Drosophila melanogaster: one gene and its partners. The protein of the gene in region 1 interacts with the protein of each later gene in a pairwise test. Each region holds a gene or a part of one and is shown in the gene's direction. Other genes may lie near its edges. The genes, in order: CG30324, CG33191 and dati.

Region 1 (3,307 bases):
CTGATAGGTGGCCACCGCCTTGGCCGCTCGATCGATGCTCGTTTTCATGGTGAGCTTCCATTCCGGATGAATGTTATCGTTGGCATAGCGAGATTCCTTCAGATTGTCAGTCAGCTGGGCAAACTTTTCCGGGTTCTTGTGCTTCATGGCGTACGCAAAGCCATGGAACCTTCCCAGGTAACTCACGGCAATCATGGCGTGCTGCAGACTCAGACCCACACGATCCTTGGTGACCCGCCATCCCTGCTCCGCGAAATTCTCCAGAATGGCCACAGCCGAATGCTGGTTCAACTCGCCGTAATAGTACTTGGGTGCGGCAAACTTGCCATCGGTGAACTTCTGAAACTCTGGCAGAATTTCCGTATAGAAATTTATCTCGTTGGTAAAAAGGGGCCCAAACTGTATGGATTCATACATTTCTGGTGGCATAGCAGGTGTTTTCTACAAAAAAAAAAAAAAACAATTAATTATTGGTATTCTGGGGTCATTGCATGCCAAAGTAAACTTCATCATTAGATGTGATTTATTTTGAATTCAAAATCAATTCGCTTTGTTCTTTTGTTGAGATGCCTCCCTCTATTTCACAATGTTTGCCATAAAACCCACACTCTCACTAAGCTATCTGAGTTTGCTGGAAAACAAAACTGGTAAGTAGTACGCAGTTAAGGCACTTATATAATATAATTTAAATTCCGCGAGTATAGTAAATCTTTTCGTTGTGTTTTTAGATATCCAGATAGATTGTTTAAGATTTATTTATACTATGTGAATGGAATAAACCTACCTTAACCACCATTTTTCGCTGAAACTTTTGCCCGTCGTATTCAAAATTAATGGTTGTCCGGTAGCAAAAAGTTAGCATAAAGGCCTCCGAGTGGCCAATTACATCAATGTCGATGTCCCCCACATGGAATGTGGTCACCTTGGACTCGCTGTAGTTGTCCACCAGGCGCCCGTTCCTCAGAATTGACGGAAGAACCGTGTATCTCAGCCATTGCCTCTCAGCCTCGATCTTCTCCATTTCGTCGGTACTGACGATCCCAACCGCTTCGCTTGTGGATAGCGAATGAGCATAAACCATTTCATATAGCTCATTTTGTACTACTCTCCAAAAGCTCATTCGTTGTTAGAGATTACACGATAAGAGCGAATTGGAAATGAAAAGCTTTCTAATCATTAAAAGCACTTTATGGTTTATAGAGAAGCAGTACCTACCTAATGATTAGCATGATGCAATTTGGCATGTTAAAATGATATGATAAGATATCATGACGCAAAGATAGGGGGATACGCTATTTATTAGTTTTAATTAGTTTTTTTTTTTTGTTTATTGTGTGCAAAGTTTAATGATTCCTTTGGATTAAGTTCTATTTTCCATAATCACAGGTATCGATATATTTTTAGTCAAAATTTCCAGTTTTAGAAAAAGCTATCCTACCGTTGCAGTTCGACTATCGACCAACTACCAATGGGCCTCAACTGGTATTTACTCAAAACGACCGGGTCAATGACCAGGGCCAACACCTACGTTCGAAAGTTCACGAATGGATCGCAGCAAAGTCGAGATATCAGCATGCCATCCAAAGTGCCAAAGAGGACAAGTGCTTCGATCAGGATCACGGATTTGGATAACATGTCATATATGTCCTCTTCTTCGCGAAAAGGCAAAATAACGAGCGGCCGACACGATCAGTTGAAAATGTCGAAGAATGCTCAACACGACGATGTCGTCTGTCCAATGCAAGCGAGTAGGAAGCCCATCGAGGAGCCCACTGTTCGGGATTCGCCACAAATGCGCGAGTTCTTCGAGGAAGTGCGTCAGCGAAAGCTCAAGGATTACTATCTTCAGATGAAGGCTGCACAAAGAAATCCAGCGATGTCCCATGTGTGTCCGGATTGTGGTTTTGTGAAGCGGGATAAGAAGGATCTCAGCAAAAACATTTACTGCACGGGGGATAAACGATTGAGGATAAAAGATTGTGATCGGCATGGGGATCTCACCTGGCTGTGGAACTCCTCCGCTGCATATCCTCACTCTGCACTTAGTTGTGGATGCAGCAGAGGTGTCTCCAGCCACTTGGAAACTTTAATCAAGCTGCACAATATAAAATGTTTAATTTAAAATTTGTAATTTTTGATATCTAGTTGCCAAGGAGTTTGCTGATAATACATCTGTTTTTCTCCGATATTTAGTTTCATTCTGCAATCCAAATCGTTCGTACCTTTCCGATTTGAACCCCACTCTTTCCACAATGTTTTCCGATCCCGCCCAGGAGTCGGTTGCCACGCAGACGGAGGCACAACCGGTTCCGTCGCCCATCTGCACCCCACTGCTGATGGTGGACGAGGATGGACGAAAGCGGTACTGCTACCATGGTGGAAAATGCAAGTGTGCCACTTGCGCACAAATTCGTGCAGAGCAGGCAGTGAAACTCGACCAGGAGCTGCTGTCCTACATACCGCACTCGAAGCTCCACCTGGAAGTTCCAATCCGAATGGCCAAGCCGAAGCAGTATCGCCTGGAAGCTCGACGGGCTACTCCCGAACTGGCAAAATTTCTGCGGGAGGATCACGAGAGGCTGAGGGCGGAGTATCCATCGTACTATCTCCCGGATCGATACTTTGGTAAGAAATTCTACGAGTTGCCAGGACCGCAGCACAAGGAGACCCAGACGGACATTCCGATTGGGCGTTACGGCATCGATGGTTGTCCCTGTACCAATAAATCGCTCTGCTATGACTTGTAATCCTGGGCAGGACTCAATTGGGGAAAAAAGAGTTTAATAAAAGTTCGGAATGTGAGAAGTATTTGCATGTTTTTCAATAAATCACTATAGTTAATTTCCCCGACTATCACATACCCATTACTCAGCTAGTAGGTGTGCAAATTAAATTTAATGTAAATAAATTGATTATCACTTATGATAATAGTTATGATACTCCTATTTCTTGGGTAATTTGGAATAGAAATCCTCCAGGAAATCCTTTAATATCAACTTGAACTTTTCGCCGTGCTTGGCCAATAGCAACTTGGCCTCACTGTCCTCATTGTCCAGCATCTCATCCGCTTCCTCCAGCACCTGAAGGTAATGCAGCCAAGCCGTTTCCAATCCCATAACCTGCTCAAATGTTTCCTCGCTAAGCTTCACCTGGTATTTGTGCAGCAGAACGAAGAGTTCCAGCATCGGAGTAAATGCGGACTGCTTCACTGGCACATCCTTCAGGAGTTTTTCAAAGAGCTGTTTGGCAGCCACCGTTTCACGGATGGTACGAGGAACCTTCATCACATTACGCTCGTTGCGTCGCA
Region 2 (3,759 bases), on another chromosome or scaffold:
TTCACTCGGTTCACTCGGCCAGATCCGGAATTTCCCTGCACTCCCTTCACGCTGAAGTTGTTAATCTTAATTGGGAATCTCTGGCCAGCGTGTCATTTGTACAAACGGACGAGGTGAAAACCCTGGAGGAGGAGGTTCAGGTCACGACACAGTGCAATGAAAAGGAGATGCAAGTTCAACCAGAGACGATTGAGTGTGGAACACAGGTCGATGTGGGTGTGGAGCAACGACTGCTCCTGATGCCTCTGAGAACCAGGTGCTTCGTGGATTTGATTCAGGGCGCCGTGGACGGATACCTCGATGTTGCCGCATTCCGGACCCGTCTTCTTCACTTATGGGAGGGCGGAGAGGATTTCCGTGAGCATCTTGAATTTTTGCAAGACATGTGGATTGAAAAGAGTACTCAGAAGACGCAGGAGAGCTATGAAGGATTTGTGGCTGCTCTGGACTGTGTCCATAACCTAAAGTTGGCCCTTAAGCCTGCATCTTCGGCGCTTTTGCAACAAATCGAGCAGCGAATCCACACAAGACTTCTGCTCTTCCATAACCACAAGGCGGAATCGGAGTTCTGCTGCACTGTCTACATTCCCGTGGAGAGGAGCAATTCCACCTTGTTCAGAGCTAAGAAATAGAGCTTTATTTCTATGTAAATACACCAAACATAAATGTAAATTACCAAGTGACTGACCCTTATTTCGGTCTCCTTGAAGGTTGCCGTGTATAAGATCTTCAGATTAGATCTAATTATAGGAAGCTAACCAGGAACATTATAATTCAACATCAATAGTTCTCTGAGATTATTGTCTTTGTATAGAGTAGACTGTTTTATCGGCAGATTCGTAACGGCATCAGATTAATCCAAATTGTTTAAACGTTGAGCATTATGATTGGCGAGTTTGAGGACTTAGACATCTTTTATGACTGCCGCAGTGACGACGAGGAGACTCCAGATCTGGAAGTGGGCGGTGGTGATGAAGTGATCTGCAAGCAAGCGCCTCGATTTGACGATCCTGTCCAGATTCGGGCCGTTTTGGAGCGGGCAGCCACTGCCACCCAGCGGTTGCTAAGGTGCTACGGAGGCACTGATTCCGTGCCAACTCGTCCTTTGATGACACTTTTCTATCCGGCCACCCTGGAGGTCAGTGCCCGTCTACATACGGACGACAAGTGTCCTTGCCCCAAGGACAGGCAGTGCAAGTTAATCGGCGACCCAGTGACCCTGAGGCTGCCAATCGAACTGAATCCGGAAAGCGGCCAGGTCAAAGTCAACATCTTCCAGCCCAAGTCAATTGGCACATTTTGTGGATGCAATGCACCTGGAAATCAGAACAAGTCGAAGAGCAGAAGATCGAGTGTAAAGTGGTCCAACAAGGATGAAGTGTGTCCCGATTGCCAGGAACCTAATCAAAACACGTAAATTTTAAACTTATCAAGAGCCACGTCTTGCTCACTTAGTTGTTTTTTCTCAAAATTCATTGGTGACTAAATTGGATTATGTTTGGGAAATGCATTTTTTTCACTGGTAATTGCTGGGTATGTTGGGTATCTTTATAAATTTTCGCTTTGCTTTGGCTACACCACACATAGAACAGCGTAGGAAAATCGAAAATTCATAGGAGTTACTAGCAGGCCAGTGAGGTCACGTTTTCAATACTGTCACTATTGTGCTCCATTTGGTATCAGTATTTTAGACACAATCGAGCAGGCAACACACACTTTAAAATTTAATGTGAGTTCAGAGCTTGATTTGGGGAAAACAGTTCAAGCTCTTTAAGCGTGATGGACGAGGAATTCTCTAATCAGCCCATCGATCCAAGCATCGCTCGGAGTGACTACTCCCGGAGTCATTTCGTTAACCAGAGCTCCATGACATTGAGTCGCGGATTGGACTCCACCCGACTGCTTTTCGTAGGCGAAAACTTCCAGCAGACGCGCAGCGAACAGGACTTATTTTACGACTGTCAAGGTCCGGGTGAGGACTCGCCAAAGGAGGGCCGTAGTGCCACCAGCCGGTGCAAGTTCGATGATCCGGCTGCGATACGGGATGCCCTGGAACGGGCGGCCAATGCCACACAGATGCTACTCAAGAATTTTGACAAGTCAGGTGGTTGGAATCAGCCATGTGCCGTCACCCTGGAGTTGACCGCTCGGTTGGTGGACCCCAAGAAGGGTCGCGCTGGTTGTCCGTTGCACGGAAAGCCCGTCACCGTCCAGATGCCGCTGGAGTTCAATCCGCAGAGCGGCAAGATGGTCAAGTGTCAGCAAAAGAAACAACCGGTCACCAGGCATCGCAAAGAGTCCATCTGCCAGTGCCGCTCGCAGCAGTATATGCGTTCCGGTCCAAGGGCTCCAAAGCCCAGCTCAGGTAAATCCGCCAGCAAACACTTTCGTCCATGTGCATCGCAACAGCTAGCCGAAGGGTCCGCCAGTTCGGTATACATAGGAAGCTGTGGGGATTCAACATCTCAGTGTAACCGTTGCACTCCGGCCACATGTTGCCGCTGGCACGACCCGGGGGCACGGGAGGTCATCTCAATCTCCTGCCTGACCTTGCCGGATATCGAATCAGAGCTCACTCTTACCCCAGTGCCTGAGCCACTGCCAATTGAAGAACCGTTGGTGGAGATAGAACCAACGGCCCCGAAGGAGCACTTGATAATCTATGCTCCAGAGCCGGAACACCCGATCACCGAGTCGGATGAATCCGATGAGCTCTTGTCTAGCGAGCAGGAGATGTTAGGACCGCAGCCGGAAGAAGAAATGGGACCGCCGCCGCCGGAAAGATCGCCGGGAAGCAAGCGGTACTACCTTGCCCTGCCTCAAAACAAGGAGTTCTCCAACTGTTCGCCGTGCCGTTTCGATCCCAGTCCTATTATGGACGAGGAAGGCAATGTGTTTTGTCCCGGCAACTGTGGCTGCTGCATGTGTCCGTGGAAGCAACGCTCCTTTGCCCCAAACCAGCAGCACACCAATGTCAAGGTTTGCCGATGCGTACAGCGCGGCACCATCTTCACTAAGTTCGAGGATCGGGAGGTCTGCAGCCAGACCTCCTACTTCGATTTTTGTCCGTGCCGCGAAAAGGCGGAGGCCAAGTTCTTAGAATTGTACCACGCTGAAATGTGGTCCCGTCCGGAAATCACGCGGGGTCGCGAGATCCAACTCAATGAGATCAAGGAACTGCTCGTACCCACGAGCCATCCAATCGAATAAAATGTGTTTGCTCACCGAATCAAATCGAATCGAATTATGTGTGTTCTAGCCGGGGAATCGAGTTGAAACGGTTTTAGGAATCGGTTCGGTATCGGTTAAGAGTGCTCGAATTTTCGAGCCTTAGCCGCCACAATATCGTAAGCGTGCTAACTTTCCTGCTGATCAGTTTTCTTCTATTATATGTCAATTGTAATCACTTCTCTTTATTGAAATTTCCCACATTTTAAATCCTGTTTACGGATTTGATTTTTTAAGGCATACTTATGTCGTTTACCTTATGTAAGCGGCTAAGGCTCAATGTTTCGGAATATCGTGCAAGTCAAGATGTTTGCAAGAAACCTGAAGTAGCCAAGAATTTTTGAAGGGTTACAGAAGGCCGGCTATTAACAGATTCTTATTTTACCTGAATTGATGTATAAAATCCTTGTTAGATATTTATTTTATCCCAAACATTTCATCCACAGAATGCCCGGCTCTGATGTACATGCAGCATGAGCGACATTCCGACAGCGACCCCAACTCCCGCCATCAACAAACCGAGGCATCCCA
Region 3 (3,759 bases), on another chromosome or scaffold:
GAAAGAAAAGTATTAGTGGTCCGAAGGTCGGCTTATCTCTTTTGCATTGCACTGCTGGACATCTTGAAAAACTAGCCATCATTTTTATATTTGCTTGAGAGTTAGGATGCTAAAAGGAAAGCTAAAAGTGTTTCCGTACTATCAGGACAGTTTGAGGTAAGCGTGACCGGGTTTGACGTGCGTAATTGAGCCAACCTAACAACACGTTTTCTGAGCACAAGTTCTCAGCTTAACCAATTGAGTCAAGTGAGTTTGAACATTTGGTATGCTCGGTCTGTCCTTGTATTTAGCTGTACACTGTAAGCCCATTTTTAAGACCGCGGGACCCTAGGTTTTGCCTAAAGCTCATGCGTAGCTGTCGACCGATTGAACCTTAGATTATGTAGATATGTATGCGGATTGACTAGTTGTATTTAGACTGACTTGATAGAATTTCGGGTTTATGATCTCTTTTATGAGATGATGTGAATGCGACTTCATGGTAGCCTTGTCTACTATCTCACCAAAAGGCGTCAAAGTCCTCTTCGATCACTATCCAAGATAGCAGCCAAATACCAAAAGATACTATGTACTATACTATAAGGTATTTATCAATCATGTACGACTGCTGTAAAATATATCTATGGGAATAGCACATAATTTTCAACAAAAAAATAGTGGGTTTCCTGTAATTTTTTTTTACTGAGCATGTGTATACTTTTAAAACAATATTCAAATTTGCAAGAAGATATTTATGTACATACATATACCCTAGGTATCCGCTTTTTTCCACGCCACGAATTGTTGCGAATGCATGCATGTATGTGTGTACATAAATAAATATAATATTAAAGAAAATCGATAGAGGTCGATTCCCACAGACCAAAGCACAGACCAAAATCGATTGAGCAGCAGAGGTGGCGGCTAACGTTACCTAAATATGTACATATGTATATGCTGCAGCATACACGGCTGCACATTCATTTTGAAAAGGTAGGGTTCAATAGTGTTTTCCGGATGCCTATGTGCTTTGCGAGCCGCCCACTTGATTGTGTACGTGTTTGTACATAAGAACTTCACATAAGCATTAAAATGCATACTGCCGCACCGTGACGAAGACCAGAAATGCAGCCATATCGCACATACATGCACAAGTGCAGCGCAAAACTCGAGCTAGACAGAAACAGTTGGCTGGCTGTCCGGCGGCGGAAGGGAGATGGCTGAACGTGGACAGAAACAGGAGCTGGGCAGGGGTAGTAACAGGGCCAGGAGGTGCCAGAGAGGCCTTGAAGTAGACATTAAATCATGCACAAATTTGCATTCCACCGACCAGAACGGACTGTGCTGTGGTTGCAGCAAGACAGCAGGGAGGAGGTCGGTTTGCTGGGTGGTTGCAGTGGTCATCACGCTGCAACGCTGCCATAAGGGATGTTACTGCGGAAGTGCAGCGCTGACGGGACCCGACGACCAACGACGAGTGCAACAGCCCCCCTCCGCCTGCTTGTTTGAGAGTTATCAGTTGGAGAGGGCGGCGTAGGGGATGATGCAACGAAAACGCATATGAAAGCGGCATGGGCCAGACATACATATATGTTGTACACTGTACGCACACAGACTCACGTGGAGTGAATGGGCGCTGGGCAACAATAGCATGCAGCTTAATACACTTGAAAAAAAGACCAGAAAGCCATATCCCGCGCCTTAGACGGAGAAGGGAACGGGCAGGGCTAGACAGAGACTAGAGGCCTCATCAGGTCATCCCTACAAGGTGTAATTGAGGAGCAATAAGAATATCAATAAGCTCTCCGAGCTTAAGAATTGTAATTCAGGAATTGGTGCTTTATTGAAATTTTTTTATTCAATTTTTTTTTGAGTGTAGAGCTGCAACTGCAAATGCTGAAACAACTGCCACTGCAACTGCAGTTACCAACAGCGCCGGCGCTGGCACAGGTTCCCTGTCCGAGTGCAAGGATCTGAATCCACATCCGCCGCTTTCGCTGTTGTTGTCGCTCCCGCTGCTGTCACTTTTTGTTTAACACACAATTTTTATCTTATAATAAGCACACCGCTGCTGCCAGCTATTTCCCCAATTCGGCACCCGGCTGTCTCCATCCCAGTCTCCAGCTTGGGAAGCAACGTATGCCGAGGCGATGATTTTTATTCTCAATTATTTTGGATGCGGCATTCAGAAACGCAATATTCCATGGAGTAGAACAACCGACTGCGGATCGTCCTGACCTCGCGGATCATTTTTATTTTATCAAATGTGCTTAAACCAGATATAAAATGATTGTGGACTGTGCTAAAAACTAAAAACTAACCAAATAATAGAGTTGTTTGATAAAAAAAAAAAAACAAAGCACAAATGAATTGCTTGGCAATGCTTACTTGGACGATTTCATTTGTGTTTTACTGAATTCAGATGAAAATATGAAAACAATATTTCTTTTAATTTAATTTCAGATCATCATAATTTTAACAAACACAATAGACCAAAAATCGTTTTTAACAATAAAGAAGAATCCGTAACTAAACGATCAAATCGACAAACCTAACTCAACCCAGCCATCTTTCAGTTTTAAACGCAATAGAACAGATGCATTAATTAACTAAGTTTTCTACACCTATTACCAAAAAGGAAGAACCACATCAACATTAACTTCATCACCAATCCGAAAAATAACATCTAAACCAATATAACCTAACATAAAAACAGACCAACGAGAAAACCCATTTAAAAATTACTTTTTAGACAAATGAAAAATATAATTTACAACAAAATTGAAATCAAAAGTACAAAACGACATTAATGAATGCGCAAAAGAATTATAAATTTAATACAATATAAAACTGTATGTTTTAGTAACGATTACGTGAAGATTTAAGTCCAAACTAGGCTACTAATCGAAAATATGATTACGTGAAGATTTAAGTCCAAACTAGGCTACTAATCGAAAATATGATTTATATGATTTACACAAATGTGTACATAACCATATAGTCATTTAAATTGCATATATAGTCTCTTAATACTAATTTAAACAGTATATAATAAAACATTTAGATTTTCTACAGCTACAAAATACACTCCCTGAATGATTACCGAAGACACACTGACACCGGAACAGACAGTTTGAACTATCACATACCCTACAGCTAGCCCTAGCATAACCATACGTAACTATACACCAAGTCGCTTATTATTTTTTAATGATAAGAGCAATACTCAAAAAATAATAGTATAGATACATGATTAAGCGTGAAGAGATAGTGGTTATTATAGTAAACAGTACGTAAAATAGTATATAAAATTAAAGATATTGCTACTATAAATAATCAAAATATCATTCTTCGGTAATATAATGGACGATATTTTAAACTAAATATTCGTTTAAGTTACAAATGTGAACCTCGAATTATTTTAAAATTGGAATATATCATATTATATTTTTATATGTATATTAAATTATGAGACGTCACAATGCGTACATATGTAGGTATTTCCGAACAATACAAATCTGGGCATCAAAATAGTAGATCGTATCGGGTAACAAATTGTGATTCAAACGTTTACAAAATTTTTAAATTTATATGTAAACAAATTCAAATAGAAACTGCATCAATCTAACTCCATGTTTTGGGATAAATAGGCGATAAATGAATTTTATAACCAATATATCGCGACACCGTAACGTGTGCCTTATTCCGGCCTTAAGTTTAAATGACTTTTAATAATACATCAAAAACCTAATTCAAGTATATATTAAGCCCACGGACATT

What was found.
Region 2: the proteins of CG30324 (region 1) and CG33191 interact in a two-hybrid assay, tested with the Drosophila melanogaster proteins (one large-scale study listed by BioGRID).
Region 3: the proteins of CG30324 (region 1) and dati interact in a two-hybrid assay, tested with the Drosophila melanogaster proteins (one large-scale study listed by BioGRID).

Annotation. Positions count from the first base shown.
Region 1 is NT_033778.4:16,287,086-16,290,392, reverse strand, and holds CG30324 (uncharacterized protein), read left to right. Parts: upstream 1-2,159; 5' UTR 2,160-2,252; coding exon 2,253-2,747; 3' UTR 2,748-2,807; downstream 2,808-3,307. Other genes in the region: JhI-26 (juvenile hormone-inducible protein 26), read right to left, coding at 1-441, 785-1,021; CG30099 (uncharacterized protein), read left to right, coding at 1,469-2,122; CG9068 (uncharacterized protein), read right to left, coding at 2,943-3,307.
Region 2 is NT_033777.3:8,777,857-8,781,615, reverse strand, and holds CG33191 (uncharacterized protein), read left to right. Parts: upstream 1-1,692; 5' UTR 1,693-1,779; coding exon 1,780-3,210; 3' UTR 3,211-3,237; downstream 3,238-3,759. Other genes in the region: CG33189 (uncharacterized protein), read left to right, coding at 884-1,417; Pif1A (PFTAIRE-interacting factor 1A), read left to right, coding at 3,675-3,689; Pif1B (PFTAIRE-interacting factor 1B), read left to right, coding at 3,689-3,759.
Region 3 is NC_004353.4:394,006-397,764, reverse strand, and holds the start of dati (datilografo), read left to right. Parts: upstream 1-2,159; 5' UTR 2,160-3,759.